7 linked regions of the Nothobranchius furzeri genome follow. The main gene of each other region encodes a partner of the protein of the gene in region 5 in a complex. Links are inferred from orthologs where the notes say so. Each region holds a gene or a part of one and is shown on either strand. Other genes may lie near its edges. The genes, in order: snrpf, cript, srrm1, rbm48, bud13, gpkow and cwc15.

Evidence for each region.
Region 1: bud13 (region 5) and snrpf share a complex: the UniProt entries of both Homo sapiens proteins name them as parts of the minor spliceosome. The link is inferred for Nothobranchius furzeri from reciprocal best matches to the Homo sapiens genes BUD13 and SNRPF.
Region 2: bud13 (region 5) and cript share a complex: the UniProt entries of both Homo sapiens proteins name them as parts of the minor spliceosome. The link is inferred for Nothobranchius furzeri from reciprocal best matches to the Homo sapiens genes BUD13 and CRIPT.
Region 3: bud13 (region 5) and srrm1 share a complex: the UniProt entries of both Homo sapiens proteins name them as parts of the minor spliceosome. The link is inferred for Nothobranchius furzeri from reciprocal best matches to the Homo sapiens genes BUD13 and SRRM1.
Region 4: bud13 (region 5) and rbm48 share a complex: the UniProt entries of both Homo sapiens proteins name them as parts of the minor spliceosome. The link is inferred for Nothobranchius furzeri from reciprocal best matches to the Homo sapiens genes BUD13 and RBM48.
Region 6: bud13 (region 5) and gpkow share a complex: the UniProt entries of both Homo sapiens proteins name them as parts of the minor spliceosome. The link is inferred for Nothobranchius furzeri from reciprocal best matches to the Homo sapiens genes BUD13 and GPKOW.
Region 7: bud13 (region 5) and cwc15 share a complex: the UniProt entries of both Homo sapiens proteins name them as parts of the minor spliceosome. The link is inferred for Nothobranchius furzeri from reciprocal best matches to the Homo sapiens genes BUD13 and CWC15.

Annotation. Positions count from the first base shown.
Region 1 is NC_091741.1:34,923,125-34,927,106, forward strand, and holds the start of snrpf (small nuclear ribonucleoprotein F), read right to left. Parts: upstream 2,808-3,982; 5' UTR 2,671-2,807; coding exon 2,668-2,670; intron 1,545-2,667; coding exon 1,419-1,544; intron 1-1,418. UniProt on the Homo sapiens protein: Plays a role in pre-mRNA splicing as a core component of the spliceosomal U1, U2, U4 and U5 small nuclear ribonucleoproteins (snRNPs), the building blocks of the spliceosome.
Region 2 is NC_091756.1:43,772,573-43,776,664, forward strand, and holds the start of cript (cysteine-rich PDZ-binding protein), read right to left. Parts: upstream 2,817-4,092; 5' UTR 2,676-2,816; coding exon 2,660-2,675; intron 2,502-2,659; coding exon 2,436-2,501; intron 2,153-2,435; coding exon 2,098-2,152; intron 1,312-2,097; coding exon 1,208-1,311; intron 1-1,207. Other genes in the region: pigf (phosphatidylinositol-glycan biosynthesis class F protein), read left to right, coding at 3,257-3,484. UniProt on the Homo sapiens protein: As a component of the minor spliceosome, involved in the splicing of U12-type introns in pre-mRNAs. Involved in the cytoskeletal anchoring of DLG4 in excitatory synapses.
Region 3 is NC_091758.1:35,720,277-35,723,793, forward strand, and holds the end of srrm1 (serine/arginine repetitive matrix protein 1), read right to left. Parts: intron 3,479-3,517; coding exon 3,398-3,478; intron 3,042-3,397; coding exon 2,955-3,041; intron 2,848-2,954; coding exon 2,712-2,847; intron 2,607-2,711; coding exon 2,523-2,606; intron 2,425-2,522; coding exon 1,951-2,424; intron 1,868-1,950; coding exon 1,675-1,867; intron 1,589-1,674; coding exon 1,412-1,588; intron 1,301-1,411; coding exon of another isoform or gene 1,295-1,300; exon of another isoform or gene 1,279-1,294; coding exon 1,168-1,278; 3' UTR 488-1,167; downstream 1-487. UniProt on the Homo sapiens protein: Part of pre- and post-splicing multiprotein mRNP complexes. As a component of the minor spliceosome, involved in the splicing of U12-type introns in pre-mRNAs. Involved in numerous pre-mRNA processing events.
Region 4 is NC_091759.1:22,195,923-22,200,015, forward strand, and holds rbm48 (RNA-binding protein 48), read left to right. Parts: upstream 1-1,287; 5' UTR 1,288-1,302; coding exon 1,303-1,431; intron 1,432-1,582; coding exon 1,583-1,773; intron 1,774-1,844; coding exon 1,845-1,990; intron 1,991-2,074; coding exon 2,075-2,604; intron 2,605-2,699; coding exon 2,700-2,762; 3' UTR 2,763-3,685; downstream 3,686-4,093. Other genes in the region: peroxisomal ATPase PEX1, read right to left, coding at 758-865. UniProt on the Homo sapiens protein: As a component of the minor spliceosome, involved in the splicing of U12-type introns in pre-mRNAs.
Region 5 is NC_091750.1:44,767,942-44,771,915, reverse strand, and holds the start of bud13 (BUD13 homolog), read left to right. Parts: upstream 1-1,166; 5' UTR 1,167-1,210; coding exon 1,211-1,350; intron 1,351-1,474; coding exon 1,475-1,565; intron 1,566-2,077; coding exon 2,078-2,162; intron 2,163-2,230; coding exon 2,231-2,467; intron 2,468-3,974. UniProt on the Homo sapiens protein: Involved in pre-mRNA splicing as component of the activated spliceosome. As a component of the minor spliceosome, involved in the splicing of U12-type introns in pre-mRNAs.
Region 6 is NC_091755.1:41,971,928-41,976,181, reverse strand, and holds the start of gpkow (G-patch domain and KOW motifs-containing protein), read left to right. Parts: upstream 1-1,443; 5' UTR 1,444-1,654; coding exon 1,655-1,950; intron 1,951-2,107; coding exon 2,108-2,268; intron 2,269-2,497; coding exon 2,498-2,643; intron 2,644-4,254. Other genes in the region: membrane-associated guanylate kinase, WW and PDZ domain-containing protein 3, read right to left, coding at 429-511. UniProt on the Homo sapiens protein: RNA-binding protein involved in pre-mRNA splicing. As a component of the minor spliceosome, involved in the splicing of U12-type introns in pre-mRNAs.
Region 7 is NC_091750.1:48,553,432-48,557,207, reverse strand, and holds cwc15 (protein CWC15 homolog), read right to left. Parts: upstream 2,452-3,776; 5' UTR 2,301-2,451; intron 2,216-2,300; exon of another isoform or gene 2,073-2,215; intron 1,971-2,072; 5' UTR 1,955-1,970; coding exon 1,824-1,954; intron 1,741-1,823; coding exon 1,628-1,740; intron 1,524-1,627; coding exon 1,423-1,523; intron 1,352-1,422; coding exon 1,241-1,351; intron 1,144-1,240; coding exon 995-1,143; intron 884-994; coding exon 754-883; 3' UTR 517-753; downstream 1-516. UniProt on the Homo sapiens protein: Involved in pre-mRNA splicing as component of the spliceosome. Component of the PRP19-CDC5L complex that forms an integral part of the spliceosome and is required for activating pre-mRNA splicing.

The sequences.
Region 1 (3,982 bases), on a different chromosome or scaffold from region 5:
CTGTTGTCCCTCGGGGTTGCTGCAGGAGGACGCGGGTATTTATGAGAGGAAAACGAAAGTAAATAAATGTTTTGTGATCAGTATAATTCGACAAAACCACGGCAAACATGCTTTCTCGACAATCCTTGTTATTGTGTGAGAAAATAAAGTGTAGAAATTAAAACGGACGTGTGTTAATAGGGAAACAGCTGGCGAGCCATGATTGCGCATGCGCCGTGAGCGGTTCTGGTTCTGTTTGGGCCGCAGCCACTCGCAGCGCTACTTCAACAGTTATCCTAGTTTTTGTCTGGCTTGCAGGCTCGTAGATTCTCACACCGGGGGAAATTAGCTCAGGTTGTTTACTTATTTTTTGCACAGGCATTTGTTTACTGTGAAGTAAAGTTGAAGTGCTGAAGTTTTGCAAACTGATTTTGAATAAAACTTGAAGAATAACTGGCAATAGCGTACTCATTTTAAGAGGTCTTTCATATTTTATAACATGCTATTTGATATAATGGTTTACAAACACAAAAGGGTCATTTATTAGAGTACTCGATTAATCGATAAAAGATTTGATAGAGTACTCGATTAATCGATAAAAGATTTGATAGAGTACTCGATTACAAAAATATTCGATAGCTGCAGGCCTAATTCCTGCATCTATATTCTTTCCAGTGGAGGTTTATGGATTAGACTTTTAAAAAGCTGTTAGAACTTCATCAACTGCTGTTGAACTGATTTGCATTTCGCTGACAACTGGGTGCATATCCTAGATATTGTTCCCAAATATACATGCAAACATTTGAAAACACACCCTGCTTTGGGAACATTTGTATTTTACTGCTGCTGAAGGATAAATAGGCTGCTTTGTTAATATTAATAAGTAAAATTATAATTACATGAAGTTTCCTTAGACATTTTGGAGCCATGACTTTATTCACTTCAGTCTCTTTAGCAAAAATTCCCTCAAACTGATCAAACAACGCCCCCTGCTGGACACGAAGATAAACACCTTTCAGCAGTCTGACTATGATCTGAAGTTGAACTGATTAAAGAACATCAGTGAGCCCTGGTTCTGCATGTTTTAGTTCCTTACCTGCTCCAACACACCTGATTCAATAGCTTAATTCTTCTGAAGCAGCTCATTATTCGCCTAATGACTCAAATCAGGTGTGTTGAAGCAAAGAAACATAGAAAACAAGCAGGATGATGGGTCTAAAGAGCTGAATTTTCCTGGGGTACAAATTTAATTTTATCATTTATTTTGATTTGGCTTAACCAAATTTATGATAATAAAGAAGTCTGACACAGATAAAACCACACAATAAAATCATCAAGCAGTAGCAAATCCTGAGCAGGTATACAAATAATTAAATGGTTTATTTTTCCATGTGAGAAGATTCTGTGGTTTGGTTGTTAGGAGGAGAAACGGCACCCACCTGCATGTTCATGTATCCATCCACAGACACCAAGTAGCCTTTATACTCCATACCCCACTTCAGCTTCACCATCACAGGTTTTCCCGTCAGGCCGTTCAGGAAAGGCTTCGGGTTCAGAGGTAAACTCTGTAGAAGAAGAACAGAGGTCAGCAAAGCCATTACATCCCACACTACTGAAGAAAATTAAATGCATTTAACGACTACATTTCATGAATTTGTAACGCTGCTGAACAGCAGCGTACCCCCAGCCGTCCGTCCTACAACACAGATACTCCTCACTCCAACATGAAGGAAATCCGGATTCAATTAAACGTTTTTGCGTAGAATCCAAACTTTAAATCTACTGCAAAGTAAATCATTTTTATTGACTTTACTAATGAATTACTTAATGGCCAAACAGCTGTTTAACCAATCTAATTTTATTCATAAAAAACGTTTAATGAATCAGCGCAACTGATCTGTGTAATAAAACAAGCTGTTAAATCCTAATAGTGTTATTTTTCTTTAAATTGCATTATTTTGTTCAATCACTATTAAATTTTAATATGTTCTCCCATAACACAAAGGTTAATCCGGGTCAGGTGGTTTAATAAAAAGGTTTAAATGCTTTACTGCTGTTTTATTTACCTGCAGCGTCAGCCTGACGAAGTTTGCAGCCGCAAACGAAACGTTGCAGGCAAATAAAACCTTTCTGTGTTTTAAAAATAACTAAAAGATGGAATTAGAATTTCAACACAGCAAGCACACACCAAAGATGCTCTTAGCTCATTCTGAGTCGCTTGTTTTAAACCGATCATCTCTCTTAAGGCTAGCTACAGGACACCGTGGACTTAAAGGCCTGAGGAGTTAGCTCACATTATAAAGATTAAATAGCTAAAGGTCGAGAGACATATTATTAATATATATTCATTTCCTTATGGAAGCTTTTGATAAACGATCTTAGCGAAATAGTTTGGACTTTATTTTGCCAGGAAGCGAGGGGATGCTAGCGGTTGATGTAGCCTCTGCGGTCTTTTCTCTTGTTTATTAACAGTGATGAACGAGTAGACGGCTTACAACCCAAAGGGAATAAGAAACCGAAGATTTATAACACCAGTTTTGTGTTAATATGTGTTTGAGGGTGTGAAAGGTCTAGGTCGAAGTTATGAATGAAAAGCTAACATGGCTAACGCTAAACAACAAAAATACACTGAATTAAATCCTGATAGTTCATTCGCAAGACGATAAAGATATACAACGTCTTACTCACCATTTTATATCAAATTAAACAGCTTTAATAAGCTAAATCAAAAAAGTAAAATATGTTCGTCTCGATAACGTTTGCAAACCACGAAGCACGCTTTACCGCCGACCGGAAGTACAACTTTCCGACCTGGGCACGAGTCTCCGTGCTTTAAACAGCGCCTCCCAGTGGCCGGATGAGCGAACTGCTACCCAAGTGATTTAGTGTAAAGCTCCAAAAGTTTCCCCTCTTCCTCTCATTTACAGTCACCCATTGAACAGTAAACTGTGAGCTGATAAACGAAACGTGAATTAAACACCTACAATATGTATGCACGATCTCTGGGGTTGATATGTCAGTTGTTTATAGAGTATCTGCTATATGTTCGTGGCACGATACAGAAATAAAGTCCAGTCCAAAAAGTTGTATCTCCTCTACATTCACAAAAGAAAATGGCAAAAAAAATCAGTTATTAAGTCCAGGAAAAACTAGTAATAATTTTCTTCAAACTCGTTTTCATTCTCAGCAACAAGATCATGTCATCTGCCTTGAGTTGAACTCCTGCTCTATTTATGTCATGCAGGATCAGTGACTGATTGAAAACATATCGGTTTAGGAGCTAAACCTGGCACGACTGTCATAACTGGGTCATGCTTGCTCTCTGCAGCTTTGTTTTTCTCCAGGCACAAGAAGCCCGATGTTTAAAAAATGTTTTCTGCTCTGAAGCGTTTGTCTGTTACCAAAAAGTCAGGCAAGTTCAAACCTGCCATGGTGAATAAAACCGAAATCTGACTTCATTCAGCAAATGGCTGGGTTTTGTCAGAAAAATTCCTATGAAATTGCTCTGGATCTCTCTCTGCATGTTTGAAATACTTGTTTCTTTACATCACTGAGTATTTTCCCGACCTCACCTTTCCAACGTGTAATTAACCCGTCCATCAGACAGTCTGGTCTCAGTTATGGGATGGAGACGGTACGCGAGGTTTAGAGAAGTGGCCAGTCAGAGGGTGCATGAGTTGTATGAGAACTACTGTTGGCATGAGGCGTAATAAAATCTGTTACAGACAGACAGACCGACTGAACCGATAAAGAAAGCATAATATATTTTTCATGTGTTTAAAAACGTATTTAGAGCTGCAAAATGATGAAGAGACACAAATAAATTTGCAGTGTTGCAAAAACTGTAGTCACAAGAAAGTAACTCGTGCAAAGCAACCAAAAACAAAAGGGAAATTATTTATTAATTAAATATGATTTTAAAATAGCAAAATTAGTCTTACGAGGCTATAAAATAAAAAAGATGACATTTTCACCAAATGGTCACAAAGATTAGAAGTTATGA
Region 2 (4,092 bases), on a different chromosome or scaffold from region 5:
CTCCTAGTTTGGCCCAGCACAGTTCACTTCCCAATAGCAGCAACAGCCTTATATCATAACCACATAAGTGGAGAAAATGCTCAGTAGCAATGAGAGAATTTGCTGTTCCATTTAAGTGATGTTAACTATTATTTAACATTTAAACTTATTTTCTGATATTTTTTTATTTATTCAAAAACCCTGGTAAGGGATGTTTTTCTGCATTTGGAGCATCAGAAAAAGTTTTATGGTGGAGGTGATGTTTTAAAGTCACTGAGAAACTGCATGCATGCAGTTTATTGTTTTGCTACTAATACAGTAGCAGGTGCAGCTGCATATTTTTGCAATAAAAATGTTATGTTGTAATGGAATTCATGCATTAGTTTTGTTTGCTTTGAACCCAGAGCAGACGTCACACGCCAGACGACATCAACACTGCATACTTTAGTATTTGTTCATTTATCGTGAGTAATATCGATATCGCAATATTAAACACTGTTATCGAATATCGCAGGTTTTTCTAATATCGTGCAGCCCTATTCCTAATTGTGAGTCTACCTAGGCATCATCATGAAGACATACCAAAGGCAGCAGGTTCAATGGGACACGTAGGCCTTGAAATCATTATAATAAAAAAGAAAACTTCAGCAAACTATAAAGATGATTTGTTTCACTGAGCATCTTCCATGTTTGATGAACCATCTGAAACATGGCCACTCCACTCTTTCATTTCCTGCAACTAAGACAGTTTGCTTCAATGTTCATCAAGATATGCCTTTTTAGATAAAGCCCTGTTTACATTTCATCATTCAGCCTAAATACAGTACAAACACACTGTATTCAAACAAACCTATCGAGAATGGCTCTAGATTATGCAAGTACAGTCTCTGTTGATGTGAGGCTGTAATTTTCTCCGGATTCTGACACTAAGACACACTGAAAAATGAAAACATCTGAGCAGAAAAGTCACAAGTTGAATTGTTCAACAACAGACAAACATTGCAGTTTCACAACTCGTCCCAGTTACTGTCACGTTTTCCTATAGGATGCAGATGGATTTGTCTCAGAGGAAAAGGATAATGTTGTTGGTGACATGATTACATGTGAAAAACTCAGCAGGGTGTTGAATAGAGAGCATGTGTGTGTGTGTTTTATGTAAAAGGGCTAATAGAAATGCTGTAGCGTTTTTGTGACACAAAACTAAATCTTCAGCACAATCACTTCATACCTTTCTTGTAAGCGCAGCCCTGGCAGTAGTGAGATCCAGCCTGATGAACTGAGCTTTTGCAGATCCTGCAGATTGCGAAGCCAGTCTTGCTGTAAGGGTCAAACCTGATGAAAATAATTGTTACACACATGACCAGTTATATCAGCTGACCACTTTGAATTAGTAATATACAACATTGAAAAACAGTAGCTAAACCGTTGTGTGACTTCTTCTGAGGAATAGTTCAGATAAGAGTTCATTATGATGGGCTTTTTAGGAAGATTTAAGAACAAGGTGTCACCTCATATTCTATACAAATCTTACAATCAGACTAAAAACCAAATGAGAGCTACTCCTTTTCTGTTACTAATAAGGTTCACCAGATATTGTCACCTATTCCCTTTAACTTGTATATGGACGATCTAAGTTTTATTTAACTAAGAGAGCATAAGAGTGGATGAATGGGGAAATAATGACCAATCATCTCATGACTGCTGAAGATTTGATGGTCTTTTACTCTTCAGAGCAGGTTTGCAACAGTTACTTAAGAGTGTGTTCCAGCTATGATGTAAAAATCAACTGTTATGATTGCAAGAAATGAAGAAGATCAGGATTTAAACGTGGTTCATAAAGTAAAATACTAAGGACAGATGATTAATGATGATTCATGTGGTGATTTGTGCCAATGCAGCAAAATGTATGCCCAAGCAAATATGGTGGTGAGAAAGTTTTATATGATAAGGTTGAACTTTAGTAAAATAACAGTTTTTGGTTCAATTTCAAGAAGGTAATTTTAAGATAAGTATATTAATGCGTTTAGAATATTTTCTCTGACTTCTCATATTTGTATTTACATTCATTAGATTGTTGTAATTAAAGTTTATTTTTTTCTATAAATTGTTTTTACTCACCTGGCTTTTTTGGATGTCAAAATCTTGTTCTCATTTAGCTTACGTCCTCCACTCTCTGACACAAAGAAAGAAGACAAACTTGTTAAACACGGACATCTAAATGTTACTATACCTATACTAATATAAAAAAAATAAACACCAATTAATTTATATTATGGCGTGATCAACCAAATGAGGACTAAACCTGCTAGTAACGTGAAAAAATATAGAAACAATGATTACATTTTCAAAAGTAACTTGTAAACAAGACAACAAGTCTCATATCTAGAATAATTAACAAACAGCAATTTATCATACTGATGGCAAAAAAACATTTCACTACGCATTCCTCGGGTCACCTGTTGTATTCCGTGCTCCGTCCTTCCAAGTGTCGGGGGTAATTACTTTTCCCAGTTTCTTCTCGCCTAAAATATAAAACAAAACAATTATGGAGGAAAATACAATAAGAACTAAACTATTGGCCTTCTAGTTTGCATTTGAGACTTTCGCTGACAAAAGTAACGTTCATCAGATTTTAAAATGAACAATACGTCTGAAAATCAGAAGCAAATGACATACATACACTTTTCACAGACCATCTTTGCGGTGTGTCGAATGACGCAGTAGAAATGATCGTTTGTTAGCTTTAGCTTGCTTTGCTAATGTAAACGTCCGGTCAGCTGAGGCATTTCAAATGACAGGTTTCATTGGTTGCTTTAACGAGTAACATCTTCTGTGATTGGTTAAAACAATTGAGTTACGCAACGCGAACTATAACTTACTACTTCCCGTTTATTTGCTTATAGGTTCTTCAAAATAAATGTTTGATAAAGTCAAGCACTTTTACCTTATTTAACCCAAGCGTATTCATTAGCAGAGATTGAGTAACAAGTAAAACATACACCTTTTTCACTTGAAATTGAAATAAACTGACCCGATAATCTATGATAATATGTTTCGAAACGGATGTTTTTTCATCATTCACCTAAGATGTCTGTGCGCAGTAGACTTTTACTGTGAAATTAAGCGGACGTTCTTACGTCTTCGTGTTTACGGAAACGCGGAAAAGAAATACATAGACCTGACAGTTTCCCAATGTTACCTTACGTTTTTTAGGTGTTTTATTTGACTTCCCCGCATCGTTATCGGGTTCTTGTTGTAAATAGTTCACGTCTTCATCATGTGGGACCATGAAATTAAAGCTATGGCGTCTACTCACGCGATTATCACCGCCTCGGTGTTCATGGCCACGGTCATCCCCGCGGTGTTTGTCCCGGGCTTCTCAGTGTATGGGACTCACCTGCTGTGGGTCTACGCGGTGTCCGGTACGGTGACCTGTGTCAGCGTCGCTATCTTCTGGCTGCTCGGCATCTCACCGCCCACCAAAAAGCACACACTGGGATACAAGGTGCCAAAACAACTAGATAATGTTTTTAAAGTGAATTGTTGATTATGTTCGACATATAAATGTATTATGTGATATGTGAAGGTATCTTATGAATTTTACAAAATGTATTCGTTTGTTATTATTAATATTATTATTATTTGGACAGGGAAATGGACATCAGTCAACTTGCTTTTTAATTAAATTTAATAGATGTGTGAAAATGAAGGTAAGTTTTGGATATTGTAAGGTGAGGTGATGAAAAAGTAGAAATTGTAAGCGTTTCTTGTTATGATCTATTTTATTTAGGTGTGAAAAAAGTAATTGTCTCTTAACACATTTCATATATTATTTGTTTAATTTTTTGTCCCACTTAAATGGTTCAGATCAAACAAATTTCAACATCAGGCAAAGAGAACTTGAGTAAACTAAACTAAATGCAGTTTTCAAAGGATTATGTCCTTTATGAAGGGAAGAGAGCTAACAAAACCATCCGAGTTTCATTTCATTTTAATTCGGTTCATCCATGATCTAAACGGCTCATCTTTAGCGCTAATCATCATCAGATGAGAGCTAGGGGACATTCTGGACAGGTCTCCAGTCATATAGAAGGACAAACAACCATTCAAACA
Region 3 (3,517 bases), on a different chromosome or scaffold from region 5:
CGATTTTTCCTGGTTGTTGAAACAACTTCAGACATTTAAAGACGCCTAATATGAGAATCCGGGACTTTTAACTTTACCCCGTAGACACATCAATGTCTAATTTACCCTCGGGTCTAATCTAGTGACTCGTACTTTTAAAAGGTTCGCACCATTTAAACACCGGCGTAGACTTGTCGGAGTTCGCATACAGCTCATAGCGGACTAGCGCCTGTCACAACCCCAGCATGAAAATTAGTTCAGAATGATCAAAATAATACATTTGTTGTTCTTAAACTATATATGTATTTGTTTTTCATAGAGACGCCTCACACTCCCTTCGTGTCTTGCAGCTGGGCCATGCGCCGGCAAACGCGGAAGAGGTGAACCCACAAGCTGTTTACGGAGTTTCTGGAATTCTATGATCATCAAGCACCTTCACGTGAAAATATCAGCAACTGCATGCTAACCAATTCACCATTGGTAGACAAACAACCACATGAATACAAAATTTAAACACGGATCCTAAAAAAGTTTTAATTCTGAAAGGATGACGTGACAGGAACCAGGTTACTAAATACAAACCATACACTATAGCAGTCCCACAGAAATTAGCTCAATACAGGGGTTTTTAACAAAAATTGCATATCAATCAGTTTAGAAAAAAATTAAAACATGTTTCATCCTTAAGATAGATTTAATCTTCAAACAAGACAATTTCAAAGTTGGAGAAAAAAGCAGGTTAAATGATGCCCATCTCTAAAACCGGACGTTTTGTTACAGCCTTGACGGACTCACAGTAGTGACTTGGTTTCCACTAGTAAAAGGCGTTAGTAACAGCAGATTACTTGATGGCGTTCTCACCAGTCAATGGTTCATGCACATCGGAGACAATGCACGTGCTATCATTTCTCTATGGAATCTACTGTACACAGACAAATATACCATTAACCTGCCCTACTCAAACCTCTGAAATGTAACGTTCTTCTTGCTTAACAAATTCAAAATATTAACACAAGTTTCTTTACAGTTTAGATAATAATCTATCCCACAAATCAAGTGAAGGAAAAACTCTCCAGAATGTACCAAACCAATTAAAAAAAAAAACAAGAATCGACAATTTGTACATTCTAAAGCTGAACCAAGTTGATGAGAAACATCAAAATAGGAAAACTCAGAACTTTCTTGTTCTCATGACATTTGTGATGGAGACATCTGGGCCTTCCTCATCGAGCGCAGGGCCTTCTCTCGAAGATGTTTTTCCAGATCGTCCAAGCCGTCGTCGGCGTCACTGTCTGAGTCCTGAATAAAAAGAATGTCAGACCTTTAACTAAAGTTTAGCTGCCTGAATACACACGGATTCGATGTTGGTGTTTAACATGTGGTCCCACCGAAACGATGAAGAGATGAACTAAAACAACAGAACAAACGTTACCTTTCTTGATTCTCCATCCTCCTCCGCACCGCGATTCTCCGCTACGTCTCCCGGAACAGCACCCCCGCTGCTTTTCTCCTTCTTGTGTTTCTTGTGTTTTTTGTGTTTCTTCTCCTTCTTGTGTTTCTTTTCCTTCTTCTTCTTCTTTTTCTTTCCGCCACCTTCAACATCTGATATCTGAAAACAAACATTATTTAAAAACACTTTTAAACTGTTTGTTTTCAAAAAAGAATGTTGTGTCATATTTAAGAGTAAATTCGAACCTTGCTTGGAGACGGGCTGCCTGAAGCACTACTGGGTTTTTTGACTGGAGGAGGTGGGGGAGACCCACTGACTGAGCGAGAAGGAGATGGGGAGGCGGAAGCAGGAGCTGGACCTTTCTGCGGAGCTGGCAGGGGGGAGACTGACCTCGATCTGGATGATGCTCTCCTCATTTGCTTAGGACTTGGTGAAGTTCTGTTAAAGCAATAAAAGTTGTGTAAAGAAAACTTTCAAAAGACTTACGGATTGCGTCGAACCATTCCTTGCATCTCGTTTACCTCTTCCTGTGTGGTTCTGGAGTGCGGGACACCCTGCGAATGAGCTTGCTGCTGCGTGAAGGGGACGGCTGTCGCCTCTGGTTAGATGGAGATGTACTAGAAGAAGCAAAGCGTCCCTGGGGACTCGTGGATCGTCTGACAGCCCGACTGCGGTTTGCAGGTGAGGGGGACAGGCGTCTGGCAGACGCAACAGGGGATCGTGTGTCCCTGCCTGGCCTGGCTGGCATGGGGCTCCTTTTGTGACGGGGTGGAGATGTGGACGAAGGAGGAGAGCGCCGTCTAGGACCAGGAGAGCTTCTGCGTTTAGGAGACCTAGAGAAACGTCGCTTGGAACCTGGAGAGGAGCGTCTCAGGGGTGAGCTAGACAACTTCCTCTTTGCTGGAGGCAAAGGTGAGGGGCTGTAGCGGCGCTGGATGGGAGGAGAGTAACGTCTGGGGGACATAGATCTACGACGTGGTGGCGGTGAAGGAGACCTGGAAAGAAAAAAAGAAAAATTGTTGAAAATCAATACTAATGAAAGTTTTTTTAATCCTACCCAGTAAATCCATATAAAAAGATCATTGTTACTAGCCTGCGTCTAGGAGAGGGAGATCTGCGGCGGCGTGGGGGAGATGGAGAGCGACGTCTACGTCCAGGAGATGGAGAACGTCTTCTTCTGAAGGAATAATAACAAATAAAAACATTTGTTCAAGAACAAATGGAAACATAAAACCTTAACAGACGTCAGATCATCCAGATACTGAGGAGATAAGCGTCTGACCTTGGGGAGGCGTCCCGATGCCGCCTACGAGGTGATGGTGTGCGGCTACGCCTCCTCCTCACTTCACCGTTTCTGGCTCCTGGCCCTGTAGCTGACCTCTTAGGTCCCTCATCCTCTGATGATGAAGATCCTGAATCTGAAACCACATGAAACAAATAAAAACTTTTTAATGGCCTTTTACTGTATGCAGTAAAGGAAAAACACCAAAATCTAGGGTTAGGACGAACGAGGCTGGACACAGACCTGAAGAAGATTGCTGATTCTGCCTGCGATACTGACGTCTCTGCTGCACCGAGTCGGCTGTTGCCCCTTTTTCATTTTTGTCCTCCTCTGAAAAGCAAAGCATCGGTTGTCTGATCAGTGTTCGTACCACTCTACAAAAGCATCATGTAAAAGTGACAACCAATGCTTCTGTCTTACCAATAAGACCCGTTATGCTGTGTTTAAATGTAACGGAAGGAAAGTTTACAAAAGGAAGCATTCTTAAAAAAATCGTTGAGCAGGACTTTAAGCTGTTATTTTTGTGGAAGAGGAAAACATTTTAAAAAACACCTGGAATAATTTAGTCTAAGCGATTAGCTAATCTGGATCAGTAATGACCCTCGGGTGATGGCACCTATTTTATGGAGACTTGCTGTATAAACGAAGTACGATCTGAGCTTCATTAGGCCGAGGATTTGACTTACCAGAGTCAGACCCATCAGAAGCTCGTGCTTTTGCATTAGCAGGTGGAGAATCATCCATTCTTCTTTGTTTTTGCTTTAAACCTAAAACCAAAACATTCAGTTTTAGATGCATTTATTGTA
Region 4 (4,093 bases), on a different chromosome or scaffold from region 5:
AGAGGGTGGTGAAGGTCCCACCAAAGCCTGAACAGGTGACTTTTCAGCTGCTTTTTAAAGGAGACCACTGAGTCCACTGATCTCAGGCTCAGGGGGAGAGAGGTCCACAGTCTGGGGGCCACACCAGCAAATGATCTGTCACCTTTGACCTTTAGCCTGGTGCTGCACAACCAGTTGGCTTTGATCACTGGACCTCAGGGACCTGCTGGGGGTGTAGGGACTAAGAAGATCACCAATGTAAGATGGTGCTTGTCCATGTAAGGCTCTATAGACCAGAACCAGGATCTTGAAATGAACCCTGAAGTTGACTGGCAGCCAGTGAAGCTGGAGGAGAAGCGGGGTGATGTGGGTGCGTTTGGAGGACTTGGTCAGAAGCCGAGCACAGGCGTTCTGAACCACCTGTAGACGGTTCAGGGAGGTTCTGCTCAGACACGTGAAAAGAGAGTTACAGTAGTCTAAGTGTGTCTCTCTAAGTCTCTAATGCAGTAAAATAAGGCAAACATAGATGTCAAGGAAGCAATTCACCTGAAAATCCTAAAAACCAGCAGCTGTCGTTGATTAGGTAACTGTTTGCTTTGCATGTTTATAAAATCTCAAACAAAAGTACTTTCATCTGAGCATAAGACAACCCGGCTAGTCGTTTAAAAACTGTCATCTGTTTATGCTAGCACAGACATTATACATTAAAACTAAGTCTTAACGTACAGAAATGATCTAAAAAGCAGTAAATCAACATGAAATTAGTTAGCTAACCTACCTCGTTCAAGGAAAGATGCGCTACCAACTTGGAAGGGAGGTGAAGAAAGCAGTTTTTTGTGTTGTTAAAAACGACACGAACGGCTTGAATTCCCTGGTTGCTAAACATAATTTTCGCATTGCTAGCTAGCTTAGCATACACCAGGCAGAGAGAGCAATTGGATTTATCGATGTGCTCTGTGGACGATGGACTCCTCACCAGGCAAAAGTAGTTGATCTTTTGCTTTCAAAATAAAAGAGTATTCTAACAGGCAGCGCGACGGTATTCACTGAACTGTAAGCATTTATTTTGAAAGTGTTAAACCGGAAGCGCAGACGCATTCACTGAACTAAAAGCGTTTATTTTGAAAGTGTTAAACCGGAAGTGCAGACGCATTCACTGAACTAAAAGCATTTATTTTGAAAGTGTTAAACCGGAAGCGCAGACGCATTCACTGAACTAAAAGCGTTTATTTTGAAAGTGTTAAACCGGAAGTGCAGACGCATTCACTGAACTAAAAGCATTTATTTTGAAAGTGTTAAACCGGAACAGCATTTAGAATAAGCATGGCGGTCCCTGTAAACAACAGCTCCGGTTGTTGGAAAGTTCCTGACGTTCACAAACATCACGAACAGCAGAAAGTTTGCATTTCTCGACCAAAGTATCGAGAAGGAAGAAGAGCTAAAGCGGTTAAGGTGAGACAATCTTAGAAGTTATTAATTTCAGCTAAAATGTTCATAAATTCTGTAAAGAAGACACACAAGATTTGCTTTAGCTTAATTGGTAACATCATTCTAATACTGCACTGAACGCAGGAAATGTAACTTTAGTCTTGTGAATTTCCAGGTGTACACCATTAACCTAGAGTCCCGTTTCCTGATGGTACTGGGAGTCCCAGCTATCGGTGTGATGACGGAGCTGGTCCAGCTGTGTGCCCTGTATGGTGTTGTGGAGGAGTACAGACCTCTGGACGAGTATCCGGCTGAGGAGTTTACAGAAGTCTACCTCATCAAGTTCCAGAAGCTAACCAGCGCCAGGTACGATTTATTCGCTCCTCATACTTTACTGGAAATACCTGCTTAATCGTTATCGAATGTTTCTGTTTCAGAGCAGCCAAACGCAACATGGATGAGAAAAGCTTCTACGGCGGTGTGCTGCATGTGTGTTACGTCCCAGAGTATGAGACTGTAGAAGACACCAGGCTAAAGCTACAGGACCGGAGGGGTTATGTTATGAGAGCAGCTCGGAGCAGAGGTATCGTTTAACATCATGTTTGATTTAGTTCTGACCTTTAAATGTTGCTTTTCAATGCTTTAAAACAAATCTTCTCTTACAAAGCAAAAGCGGCGCACAGCGAAGGCTCCGCATCATCGACGACTGCATCAGACATAAACGTCAGACACGATCAAACCTCTAAAAAAGAATGTGCAGAGGATGCTTCAAACCACAGCCAACATGCAGAATTCCCTCCTCTCCCATTACCTCCATGGGAGCAGCATCCCTTTGGACATAACAGTCCACATGGGATCAGCGCACAGGAGGACAAAATGGGAACTTTACATGATGCCATCATAAACTTGAAACAGCCCCAAGTGGAAAAGTTAAGCGTTAACCAAGCCTCAGAGAGAGACCACGACACAGAACACAGACTGACCTCAGATCAGGCTTCAGCATTCAGGTTTCTCCCAAGGTCCTCGCACTTGGAGATCAGGAAACGCAGAATGGAAGAGGCTCCCGAGCAGTCGGCAAGTGTTTCTGGAGGAACCGAGACCCTGATTGGACCGAAATTACCAGAACCACCTAAACTGGACATGAATGATGACTCGTTGAACACAACTGCCAGCCTGATCAGGAACACAATGAAACAGGTCATTGTTGATTCAGTACTTTAATAATTTCATAAAAAGTAAATCAGCCTTAATGAAGGATTAAAACATGTGAATCTTTTTTTTTTTTTTTTCAGGTGGGATCTGCTCCGGGTTTCAAAGCTGTTGAGAAAAAGACAAAACCACGTCGTCGGATATGATCTGGACAGGTGTCTAGATGGGAGTCTTGGAAGAAAACCGACGCTCCCACTGCTTCGGAAAACTGTTTATCTCATCGGCTGTTGTATGCTATGATACCAACCTGTATAAAAAAGGTTAAAAAAAACAGCTATTATGTAAAGAGTGCACAAATTTACATTTAGAAAGCTAAAGAAATACTAATACTGTGTTTCCTATGTGCATGTTGCCGTGGCGCGCCACTACGGAAAAATAAAAGCTGCCACACCTTCAGAAGTAAACAAAAAAAAAACTTCAAACAACGTACCTTCAGAAACATTTTTTTTGGATATACATTAAAACAATAACGAGACATATATAGTCTATATTTGTGCATGTGTACTAACCATAGTCACAGTTTAAAATAAATTTTATTGCAACAAAACTTTAAACTGCAGTTCAAAAAGATCTACCGACCGCTAAATTAGCGAGGGCGCACCGGTGTGGTGAAGTCACCTGAGGACAAAACAGGTGATGCGCTTCGCTCCGCAGCAGCAAAACGCATCGGGCACAAATAAAAGACAGGAAGCATAAAAAGGACACGAGTCGACATAAACAATCGTGTGTTATACGTGGAGACACTGAGAATGTTACTGTCGCCATGCTCAGGACACCGCTCTGGTGCGCGCCAACCATCAGGAGGTGAGCGAAGGAGAGACAAGTGGAGAGGCAGAACAAGGACCAGCATGCATAAGTGAGCATGATGAGGGAGAGAGCAGCAGGGAAGCGGTAAGAGGGAAGAAAAAAGTCAGCACAGAGAATCTGGCTGGGACCCAAAATGGACAGAAATCAAGTTCCGCCCATGGCTGTAATCAAGGTGGGAATCAAGCAATACAAATTATTTCAAGGTAAATATATTTTTACATTTTTTTTATTTAATTGTAATTAAACAATAAGCTGATTTACACACCTGCGATGGACTGGCTCTCTGTTCAGGGTGGCACCAGCCCCCAACCCCCCACCCCCGCGACCCTACATGGACAAAGCGGGTTCAGACAATGGATGGATGGATGTTTTACACACACCTGCAGGAATGTTCATCGAAAAGCATACTGCTCGTGTCTCAGAGCGACCGTCTCCGCACGTCTCTCCACCACGGTTTATCAAAATCGTAGAGGAAACCCTGAGCATGTTATTTTATCTCACACTGTCAATATTTTAACTGCTAAAACTTTCTGCATATTAGGAAAATCTTGAAATCCTTCACATGGGTGCAAATTTACCACCAAACAAATAAAATGGTCACAAAAACATTAGAACAGTACTAATTAAAGAAAAATAACAGCCCAAAATAGACTTTTACAAAAACAACAAT
Region 5 (3,974 bases):
ATAATCTGGGTTATGAGTCTGAGAGCTTTGACATTCAATCACTTTTATATAAAAGTGATTTGAACTGCACAATTCTTAATGGCTTAAAACTAAAGTACATTAAACTTATTGGGGGTAAAATTGGACCATTTTGCTGTTTTTATTTAAGTGTGTAAAACAGATCTAAACAAATGTTTCTACAGAGCAGCTGCTACATGAGGTTGTGATTGAGCCACCATACACCACGAGATAAAGTTACAGTCATTAATGAGGTAGCAAATAAATAATGAATACAAAAAGGTGCAACAAGGAGGCAACAAAAACTTGTTAAAATATGATAAGAACAAATAAAAAAGATGCAAAACATCAAAGTACATTGTGTGTGTGTGTGTGTGTGTGTGTGTGCGCGCGCGCGTGCGTGCGTGTGTGTGTGTGTGTGTGTCAGAGAGAGAGAGATAGACAGATCCAGGGCCTAAATAAATCATTATGATGACATCACTGAGTTCCTCAAGCTAAAGATCTTAAATCATCACTACTTTTGAGTTACTGCTGGGAACAATAACGTGTTCAGTGTCTATCGAGTAGAGTCAGTTTCTAAATGGAGCTAAAGCATGTCTCCTACAGCACTGACAGAATGGTGATGGTGATAACAAATGTCGTCTTTGTTTCTGCAAATAGAATTAAAGTAAACATTAATTCTTCTTTTTTTTCATTATAAAAAATCTAATATTGTTTTACTGTGCCATCCTTATTTTATCACACAAAATTGAATTGTATTTGTTTTAATCATTTGTATTTCCAAACAAGAATCAAATGACCACTTGTTTTTTTTTATTATTATTTGTATTATTTTTTTTAATTACTGATTTGGTTCCCTGATGAAAGACTCCTATTATCAAAATTAACACTTGTTAATGTGATGCTTTTGTGTCCAAAATGAGGGAAAAAATGTCTGTTTGTCAGTGTTAATTATTCGTTTTATTTTTCTATTTGTTTTATTTTATTTATTAGCAAAAATTAGATGGAAAATCAAGCCATAGCTCATCCATTTTTACATCAAAAAGATAAGCGGCTTGTTTAGCAATTGAGTATTTTCAGTTTTACAACAAAAGCCAGATTATGACTCTTGTGGTATTTTTTAAAAAGAAAAATATATACCATAACAAGGATGGTGGAGCGGTTTACCCCTTTTGATCCTCCGCGCTATCCGTAGTTTCGGACAACAGTCAACATGGCTGCCTCCAATGGCGTCAGTAAAGGAGCTGAGCTTTCTAAAGCTGAGTACCTCAAACGTTATCTGTCAGCCAGCGAAGATGCTAGTAAATCAAAAGGAAAGATAAAAAAGAAACGACGCAAAGTTCCTGAAAAAGGGTGAGTTTGTGAGAGAGTTCTATAAAGTTTCTTTTCACTTGTATGCTAGCTGTTTCGCTAGTCACTGTGTCAGTTATCGCTTTTTTGTTACTTGGTGACATTTATTATTTTCCTTTTATTTCAGACTTAAAATAGTAGATGATGATATAGACTGGAGACAGATGGTCACAGAACCGAAGGAGATTGAAGAGGAGGAAGAAGAAGAAGCTCCTGTGGTAAACAGCTAGCTAACGTTAGCTTTTTCGAAAGACCTTAATTCGATTCAAACGCTTTTAAAGCAAATCTCTCCCTTCAGTAATCTCTGGCAATATTAAGACAGGCGTTCAGTTTTAGACTCCATACATTGGGTTGAGTTTATGAAAGTGTATTCACAAGTTTTTAGACACTAAAACTTGATCCCAAGTGGGTCAAAATACTTAGAATGTTTTTGTGCCATTTTAATAATTTTTGTTTAAAAAGATCAAGAGGAAGATATTTTGCACTATAAACAGGGCTAAACAAGTGCAAAATTATAGTTTTTTTTCTTGCAACAAATAATAATTTAATTTGTGGAAAAAAAATCTTTTTGCGTAATCTGTCCATATAATCCAGGAGGGAAAAAAAGCTGAATTCTGACATAAACAGAGACAAAAAAACACAAACTTTTATTTATTAGAAGGTTCTAATGAGTGATGTTTCCTCAAATGTTATGGAAATGCAATATGGATAAATTTGTGTGCCCACTAAGATTGCTGAATTCATTGACGAGCGACCAGAGGAGGTGAAACAGATGGAAGTCTTCAGGACCAGCAACAGATGGAAAATAGTTGGAGGTAAACGTGAAACACAAACAAAATCTGTTCCTTTGTTTAAGAAAATCATCATCTAGTCTTCCCTGTAGCTGATGAGAACGAGGAAGATGAAACAACGGGGGAACGTGTAGAGTCTTTGGAATCTAGCAAAATTCACCAAGACTCACCGGAGAGGTCATCAAAAGACATGAGACACAATTCTCCCATCAGAAAAGCAAGACATGACTCTCCGGACACATCTCCTCCAAGGAGAGGTCGCCACGACTCTCCAGACTTGTCACCTTCAAGAGGGCATTCAGGGAAATCAGGAAAGGGCCGATATAAAGGTGAGTGATAAACGTTTTTTTCTGTGTCTCTCATGGACAGGCATTTGTTTTAGCATCCTGTTCTCCACCACTGATTGAAGCATATTCAGGGTTTTTCCTGCATTCAAATTCGGCCGCCCCAGCCTGATTTCACTCTGCCCCCAGCTATATGGGTGTTATTTTAACTGCAGTTGCAGCGTTACGCCCCTACAGGGGCGCTGTATCAGCAGCGGCGCACCGAAAAGCACTAAAACCACTGCAGACAAAGAAGATCAAAAACTGCTTTTCTCGCTAGTTACATATCTATGGTTGGTGTTATTGACATCCTGATTTTCCCCCAGGCTCTTCCATATCAGAGCAGAGCTGTACAGTGTGACGAAAAGAACTGTCTGTGCGTGTCTGTCTATGTTTAAACGTAGCACTGGTGCAACATCTTTGAATTACTATTTTCCCCAGAACTTTATTGAACAAAGTTAGTTGCGTGTAAGAAAAATGCTTTTTACCGGCGCAGTGTGGTCATCTGGATGCAGTGGAGGAAAATACAGGAACCAGCAAAGGCAGAACCGGTCCAAAGTTTGGGATCAAAAGTGCAGCTACACGCAGATTGGCTAATGCTAAAGCTAACGGTTAGCAGTCTCACGATCAAGTGGTGCACAGAAAAATATATGATGGTAAAACTAAGAAAGACTAAAATCTACAAGCGGATGAAAAGTCCCCACCATCCTGTTTATTCTGCATCCTGCAGCGCTATGGATCAGAACCGCTGCAGATACGAGTCACATTACTGCCACAATGCTGCAGTCGCCATGGTAACTCTGTCTCCCTATCCCACCCTGGGTGGGACTGCGACCGGTGAAGGCCATTGAATCGTTTCCAGGAGTCACTGTGCCCTCTAACCCACATACCTCCTTCCCCTGTCCAAACGGAGGTGACGAGCGCTGCTTATCGCGGCTGCATGCACTGATGTGTGGAGAGTCCCAGACCCTACCACCCCACCTAGTGGACACTTATGTTGTGTAATGTCTGAAGTCTGTTGCATTTCTGTCTGAGGTGTTTTTTTGCATAGCAAAGCTGCCCTCCCTGTCTCTGAAGTGCCTTTTTTCCCTCCACCTGACCCAATCCTTATGTAAACCCTCCGGGTCGCGAATGACCACAGTCACCAATTCTTGTCATGTGTCTATGCCTATGTATGTATGTCTGATCTCAGAATTGTGTGTACTGAAACTCTAATTTCCCTCTGGGATTAATAAAGTATCTTTGAATTGAATGGAACGGCTATGGCAAGCCGTTGTAGTATATAATTAACAGACGCTTCTATCTTTCAACATAATTTGAACTGGATTATTGCCAACCCGTACATAATAGACATGCCACCATTACATTTTTAGCAGCCAAAATTAAATGTTATTACCATTTCTGATACAAATGCATATTAATGAAATGCATTATATAATTATATAAGTATCTCGGGGTCTTGTTCACGAGTGAGGGTAGGAGGGATCGGGAGATCGACAGGCGGATTGGTTCG
Region 6 (4,254 bases), on a different chromosome or scaffold from region 5:
ACCTTGACTGCAACCAGATCCGGAGCATTTCCGTCAGGGTCAGGAATCCATCACTTCCAAAACAAGCTGCCCAAACGAGCTGGGACACACCCAAAACAAACACTCTCACACATACAGAGGGCTGCAGGGCACTTGTGCACGCTCCTGTATGCACATGCATGCACACACACCTGGCTGTGAACCACAGAGTATTTGAATCAGTCTATTATTCATGGCAAAGGGGGTGCAGGTGCACTGAGCACGAGCTTCTGTTTAGTTTTCATTAAGGCAATTTGTGAGGAAGGCGATTGAAACCGATAAAGAAAATAGAAAAGCTATCAAGAAACTCTCAAAACACACACACACACACACACACACACACACACACACACACACACACACACACGAAGCAGATTCTCAGATTTCTCATATTTAGACTGAATACTGACCTGCCTTGCCGCTGACACACACACATTCTCTTCAAGCAGTTCAGCCTTTCAAAGAGGATCCGTTTGAACGCGTCTATATACATTGACCCTGCCGAGGTTAAAAAAGGAGCAGCACTTTAATAAATAACGCGACCTGTTTGGTTTGGAGCAACAGCAGGAGCTGGAGGAGGAGCGAGGAAGAGTCTGGAGTCTGGAGGAGATGAGATGAAAGGCGATCAGCCGGAGCCAGCGGAGAAAGTCAGAGCCGATGCGCACGGCTGACGGGATGTTTGGACACTAGTGATGCTCTGGGAGCTGAGGAGAGCGAGAGAGCGGGGAGAGCAGGAGAGAGAGAGAGAGAGAGGAAAATAAAACACACACACACACACACACACACTATCGGGCAGATTTGACGGCGGTCGCAGATAATTTCAGCAGCTGCTACATTGCTGCGAGCAAAAAGGAGAAAGGAGGAAAAAACAAGAAGGCGTGGATGGTTGTGACCCAAACGGGAGGTTTTAACTTGTGCAAAGAGAACAGTGCGTTTCTTACCCCCATGTTCACTCTCTGCGCCTCATCGTTTATCCATCATGCATACAGAAAAAGCCCGAATTACCCCCCAAAAAATCATACAAATGTCGGGTTCAGCAAATAAAGGTGTCGCTGAACTTCAGAGGTTGCGCAAAAGCAGGTGCGGAAATAGTAATAAGGTTGCGCTCATGCTGCTGACATGCAAATGCGGAGAAAAAAACAGCAACATTAGGCTACATGGCTAATGAAAAGGTTAACCTCACAAGTTCAGGCGCTCAGGAGGCACTGGGAGGAGGAGTTAAAAGCCCCGCCCACATTCTGCCTAAAACACACCTGCATCAGCAGCACCAGAGTCCGCTTCACTATCTGCGATTTAAAGGAGTCAGACCCACGCATTAATCCAACTCATTCAGCTCTTGTTTCTTTTTATTACAGGAGACTAAAAAGCTCCAGATAAACTATAGGGGTTTACAAGATGACCGCTTCAACGGAGCGATGTTTCAGCTTTTCAAAAATAGACCTGCAAGTCTAGACATGTTCACAATGAAAGTGTTAAACATCAGTACCTTTCTATTTTAAATCAAGTGTCAGTGTAATTACCGTCTGTTTAACTACTTTAAATGATTTGATATATTATTTAGTTACTAATAACCAACGGATTTCACAAATAAATCAGTAAATCTCGGATTGCCTGCGACCTTTAAAGAACTCTTATTATGAGGCATGATGGGATCTGTAGTCAATTGCAGCCTAGAGTGGTTATCGGGCTCGTTAACGCAACCCCATCTCCCAGAATGCACTGCGCCCTCATCGTTCTTCTTCCACAAACAATCATGGCGTCGCACGGAGACGGTTCAGGTGCCGCCGAGAACCAAGGAGATAAAAAGGCAGCGGCGGTATCGTTTGGTTTCACAAAAACTGTCAGCAAATTTAAACCCGCAGCCGGCGGCATTCCAGCCAAGACCGACGAGAAGGATTACCTGACTGGAATCGACCGAAATGAGTTACAGAGGTAGGCTAACCGCTAGCTAGAGGCTAAAGCTGTCAGTGGTTTGTAAACGGAGTGGTGACGTTTGAACTCTAAATCTGACTGACCACACTTTTACGTGGTGTGTGTAATGTATCTACCCGGGACACTTTAAAGATTTAACTTTTGTCTTCCGTGGCAGTTCAAAGCCAACCGAGAAGCCCAAAGAGCTCATCATCCCATTGATCCAGAAGAACCGCTGGCACAAACCGGACCGAGCGGACCCGAGTGGAGGCTCAGCGCGCGGCTCGGTCCAAGACAAAGACTCGGTGGAGTCTCAAGCTGTCAAAGAACTCATTGAAGGTTTGTGGTTGAAAAAGATGCAGAAGTTGGACAATGAATGGTTGCGTGTCAAAATGTGTACCCCCTCGCAAACGGAGCCCATCCTGGAAGTGTCTTCCTGCTAGACTGTAAAACAATTAAGAGCACGAGCTCCATGGCCGGTTTGTGTGTGTATTAGACAGTTTTTACTTTCCTACCCAACACTAAGAAAACCATCTTTATCAGTGACGTTGTGTGTTTCTGCTTGTAGATTCACGGAGGCAGCTGGAGCAATGGCAGAATGCAGCAGAGTCGAACAGAAGCCTGGACCTCTCCATCCCTCTGTTGATGCAGAACAAAGTCCCTGAGGGTTTTGAGGATGGAGACCATGTAAAGGTGGACCTGCGGCCTGAATCTGTAAGTGGGGACAGAACGGGCTGTAAGAGACTTAGGAGTATGCAAAGTTTACCAGACGAATGAGAAAAGATAGAAAAATTAATTATTCACAATTTTGTTGTTAGAGCAGCTTAAGTCAAGCCATCTGTTATAGTCAGTAATGCAACAAACCAGAACCTTTAGATTTATAAAACAAATGGAATAAACCTTTAAAAGGTTTAGTAAAGTACAGCAAAATTATTCTTTATCTTAATGATTAATTTAAAGCACGTGTACATGCTACTGCAGCAATCTGACACCCGGATCTACCAATATCCATCAAAAGTAGAGATGTAAGAAAATATCGATATGGCAATATATCGTGATATTTTTCCCAGCAACATTATATCGATATTCAAAAGCCGTGTATCGGAAATATCGATGTGGCAATATATCGTGATATTTTTTCCTGCGATTATTACATCGATATTCAAAAGCCGTGTATCTAATTCCTGAAAGAATTTACATGCAAACATTTGTGTATTTTCGTTTTGCGCAATTCAATCAGCACCCGCTAGTTGGCAGCAGTGTGCAGCGGGTTTTGTTTCCACCACTGAAATGTAAATCCCTCCATCATGGTTCAGATACCTCATGTTAAACATGTTACGTATCAGTTTGGACTGTTTATTGAACATTCTTACAATAAATTCAGTTAAAAAATTGCTTGTAACGTCTGACTGAATGTATCGCAATATATCGTGAAATATCGTATCGTCTCCCCTGTATCGTGATATGTATCGTATCACAAGAATTTCAAAAATACACATTCCTAATCAAAAGGCATGCTTACATCATCTTCGTCAGCTTGTTAAAGGATTGTACCACCTCACAGACGTTTGGTTGTGATGTTAGCAGCAAACCATGAAAAGTAAAGTTCGACCGATAATGGTTTTTCTGTTGCCGATACCGACGTGTAAAGGTTACGGACAGCTGATGGACGATTAGTGTTGCCAATGTTCTGTGCCGATTTTCATGTCTAGATGTTTTCCGCCCTATTTTCATGCTAATATGTCACAGGTAACACCAGTAAATGCACAAAATTTCAGAAGCTGAATCGGTTTTTGAACACTAAATTTAACTGTTAAATTTTAATCTTGTGCACTGCTCAGTGTTAAAACCAGACGTCTCACTAAAGTTAATCAAACAAATCAGGATACTGACCGAGTATTAAATGCTCAAAACTGGTAAACAAACTCTTATTTTTGGTGGAAATAATTTTTAGAGCATTAATTAAAGCAGATGCTATTCAGGAACATAAAAATACAATTAAATCCTGCAGCAGTGCCGGGCTGCCTGGGGATGTGCCTGACTTAAAACCGGCTAGGTTGTGTAATTGACAGTGAAAACTGTAAAAACCACGTTAAATCCAGAAAAAGCTGACAGGTTGAAGAAATCAGCAGTGACAATTTCATCAGTAACAAACGAATCTTTAAACTTCACTTCCTGACGGACGTGAAGGAAGGCCGTCGGTCTGAGCTCGTTATCTGTCTGAGGATGCTACGGGAAGGTTGTGATAGAATCTTCTGGACAGGTGCCTCAGTGAGGGCACGAAAACACCTGACAGTACAAAACGTCTGCTACTGGAGAATGGCT
Region 7 (3,776 bases), about 3.8 Mb from region 5:
TGTCTACAGGAGTGATTCATCACTAAATGAAACAAATCAGCTGTGTTCATGATCTAAACCATGCAGGAAACTTGCTGGAACTAGACTGCAGCGCCAGGTATGTCAGCTCAAGTTCTTCTAAGTTCAACAGATCAGACCAGCAACTGTGAAGCTGCAAGTGGGATATTTTGGCCACAGGGGGCGATAGGGGCTGGGTGGCATTTCATTAACACTGTGAAGGGTTATTTTAGCACATACTGGCTCAAGAAAATTATCTAAAAATATGAACAAGTTACAAAGTATCTTTTAACCCTCGCCACATCCTTGAACTTTTGCAAAACCCATTACCTTTTGCACAAAAAAAGCACTAGGGAGTGGAGGGTTAAATGAAAAGCAACACTCTTCATACCCATTTCTGTGCTGATTTTAGGCACCCCACCCCTAGCATTTTTTATAAAACTTAACTTTTTAAGTTAATTTACCCTTTAAAATTAAAAAATGCACAATCTGTTATTTCTGTGAAATTATGCAAAGTAATTCAAGGGAAAAAAGTCAATGTTTATTCAAATAATGAAAAATGCATGACAGAAATACTGAAATCACATTCTGAAATGTGCTTCAAACTTTCATGATTTACGCAAACAGCAACTGACCTGCAGACAGTACGGTTTCCAATTAGTTAGACTGTAAATAAATGCCAGCTGCAATTAAAATGCTTGAAACTAAAACATTTTCAATTAAAAAAGATCAAATGAAACACACACACAAAGTCCTCTACTTTACATATTTCTCCATAAATTTCTTGTGGAACTCAGAGCGCAGCGTGTCGTTGACAAAACGTTTCTCTTTCCGCGCCTCATCCACTCCTTTGGCGCAGTTTTTGAACACTACGTCATCATCCCACCTAGAAGTACATCAGAATTATTAGTGGTGGTGAAGGAATATATTTGTTTTTCCAAATGCAAACAAACAAAAAACCAACATTCTTGCTGTAACAAGTGAACATAAGAAATACCTTCTCTTGACTCTGAATGTGTTCTGAGTTTGGCTCTGTTGCTGTTGTTGCTGCTGCTGCTGTTGCTGTCCTGCTAAATTTATCAATGGATTTCCACTCAAAATATTTTCCATTCGAATCCTCTCTTCCTCTGCCTTCTGCTCTCTTTCCTAAATAACAAAAGAAAAGCACACGGAGGTTAAGCCATCCTCTATAACATCACTTTTCATTTATAGCCAAAGCAAACACAAACTTAAAACTCTTTACTTTGCGTTCTTGCTCTTCAGCTCGCTCTTTCTTAATTTTTTCAAGTTCAGCCAGCAGGGCTGCAGTGTCGTCATCATCACTTTCTTCATCTGAGTTCTCGTCTTCGTCATCCTGTAATGTAAAAATGGATTAATAACTTTATCCAGTGTAAGTCTGGGATGTATTGCAATGTAAATCCTTACATCAGTGAGAGGGTCATCGGCATCAAGGTTGGCTGCTGGGATCTGATCCAGTCTGGGCCTTTTTGAAGATGATGATGATGAAGAAGATGATGTGGTGTGCTCTGAAGAAATAAAATCAACACAATACAGATTAAAGGAACTATGCCAGAAACCGTTGCATACATCCTTTTTGGATCTAATCTTTATTATGAGTAGAAAAATCCACCTCTTGGTCCCCTCTCTCTGGTCTTCTCACGAGCAGCTACACGCTCCCTCTCCTCCAGCTCTCGGCGAAAATCACGGGCACGCACTTCCTCAGGGGCATCCTGGGTAGGCTGCCTTTTAATTGAGATGAAAGAAACACAGTTTAAGTAGTTCGAATAAATATTTAAGGTTGAGAAACTGGAACCCACTGTTCTGACCTGTATTTGATCTTGGTGTGACCTGGAAGATCCCGACTGGAATACTGCTTAGAAAGAGCACTCAAATCCCCTTCTCCTTTTCCTCTACCCCCTCTCGCCGGCTCAAATGTTGGTCTTGCAGCTGTAGTCATCTTTGATGGCCGTGCTCTGGCAAAACGTAAAGCAGAAAATAACTGACCAATTCATAAATTACAATAAGTAATTTTAGATATACATCATAATAAGTCTAATGTTAATATGAGTTAAAACCTTTAACGATCAGTTTCCTCCTAAATGTTGTTTAAAACACAAGTTAGCTTGATAGCTTCCACCGCTAATCAGTTGCTAACAGGCTAACGTGGGTGACAATGCAATTTAAGGAACATTTCCTATTTTTAAAACCCAATGCAAGATAATTACGAGAGTAAACATGTTTGAAACACAAAGCTTAAAATAAACAACACAATTTAAATACGTTTTTAAAGCAACAACACTTACGAAGCTGCTTCCAAAAGTGAAAAGGAAACGTTCCTGTACACAACGGTGCGTCACTTCCGGAACTAGACGCGTTCAGGAACAATCGGAGAAAAATCGTGCATATTTTGACCGGCATGACAGGACTCCAAGAACCTATTTTACTTGTATTGTTTACGAGGTCGGCTGCGCAGTGGTTAGAGCTGTTGCCTTGGGTTCACTTCCCAGCCTGAGATCTTTCTGCATGGAGTTTGCATGTTCTCCCTGTGCATGCGTGGGTTCTCTCCGGGTACTCCGGCTTCCTCCCACAGTCCTTAGGTGTGTGTGTGTGTGTGTGTGTGTGTGTGTGTGTGTGTGCGTGTGTGTGTGTGTGTGTGTGTGTGTGTGCGTGCATGATTGTTTGTCCTGTGTGTCTCTGTGTTGCCCTGCGATGGACTGGCTTTCTGTCCAGGGTATATCCCGCCTGATTGCCCATTGACCGCTGGAGATAGGCACCAGCCCACCGCAACCCTACGTGGACAAAGCGGGTTCAGACAATGGATGGATGGATGGATGTTTACAAGGTCAATAAAATGTAGTGTTCAAATTAAGAAAACCACAAATCTTGTTTACTACAGTATGATAATTACAGACCAATCTTAGTGCTTCCCCAGTTTTCTAAAGTCCCTGTTGCCCTTTTCAAGCTGGATCTAACCTCCATCTGTCTGCAGATTCCTGCACCCGACTCCTGTTGAAGATCTCAGCTACATTTATGCTGCTCCCTTGTTTTCTCCATTAATTTATTGTTTAAAACCGACCGTAGTCTGTGAACTGATTCTGTAAGTCGTGGGTTAGACACTTACCTCACAACATGACACCATAGTGACTGGTATAATTACGCAATCCTTCGATGAAAGAAGGTCACAGTTTAGTCTTGTATGCGATCATGGTTCAGGTTTGCATTTCATTATTTTCTGACCTCCTGCTATGACATTTTTTTTACCTGAAGCTCATAAATATTCCTGAAAAGTTGAATAAACAGAAATCTTCAGTGCAATGCACCGATATGAAACTTTGGGGCTGATACCAATATCTGATATATCGCTGTTATGGCCGATAACCGATGTTTGCCAATACCGATATACTGACATTAATGCTTCTAAGATCAACAGATTTGTAAAGATTAAAGCTGAATTGACGTTATGTACACACACCACACATGTTTACACTGTTAGATGATTGCAATCACTGTCACATGACTAAACAATTACACATCACCTCCCTCACCCTCTGAAACAGATAAACAAATGAAAACAAGATGGAAAAATTATCAGTTAATATTGGCCCAGTTTAATGTATCGGACCAATACCGATATTAATGCCAATATATTGTGCATCCCTATTTTGAACCCTAACCTACTGACAAAGTTTGTTTGAAAGTTGTCCTCATTCAGATAAATACAAAGATGAAGAGATAAAGTGAAAATATTGCTGACTTCCCTTACCTTTACATATCTGACC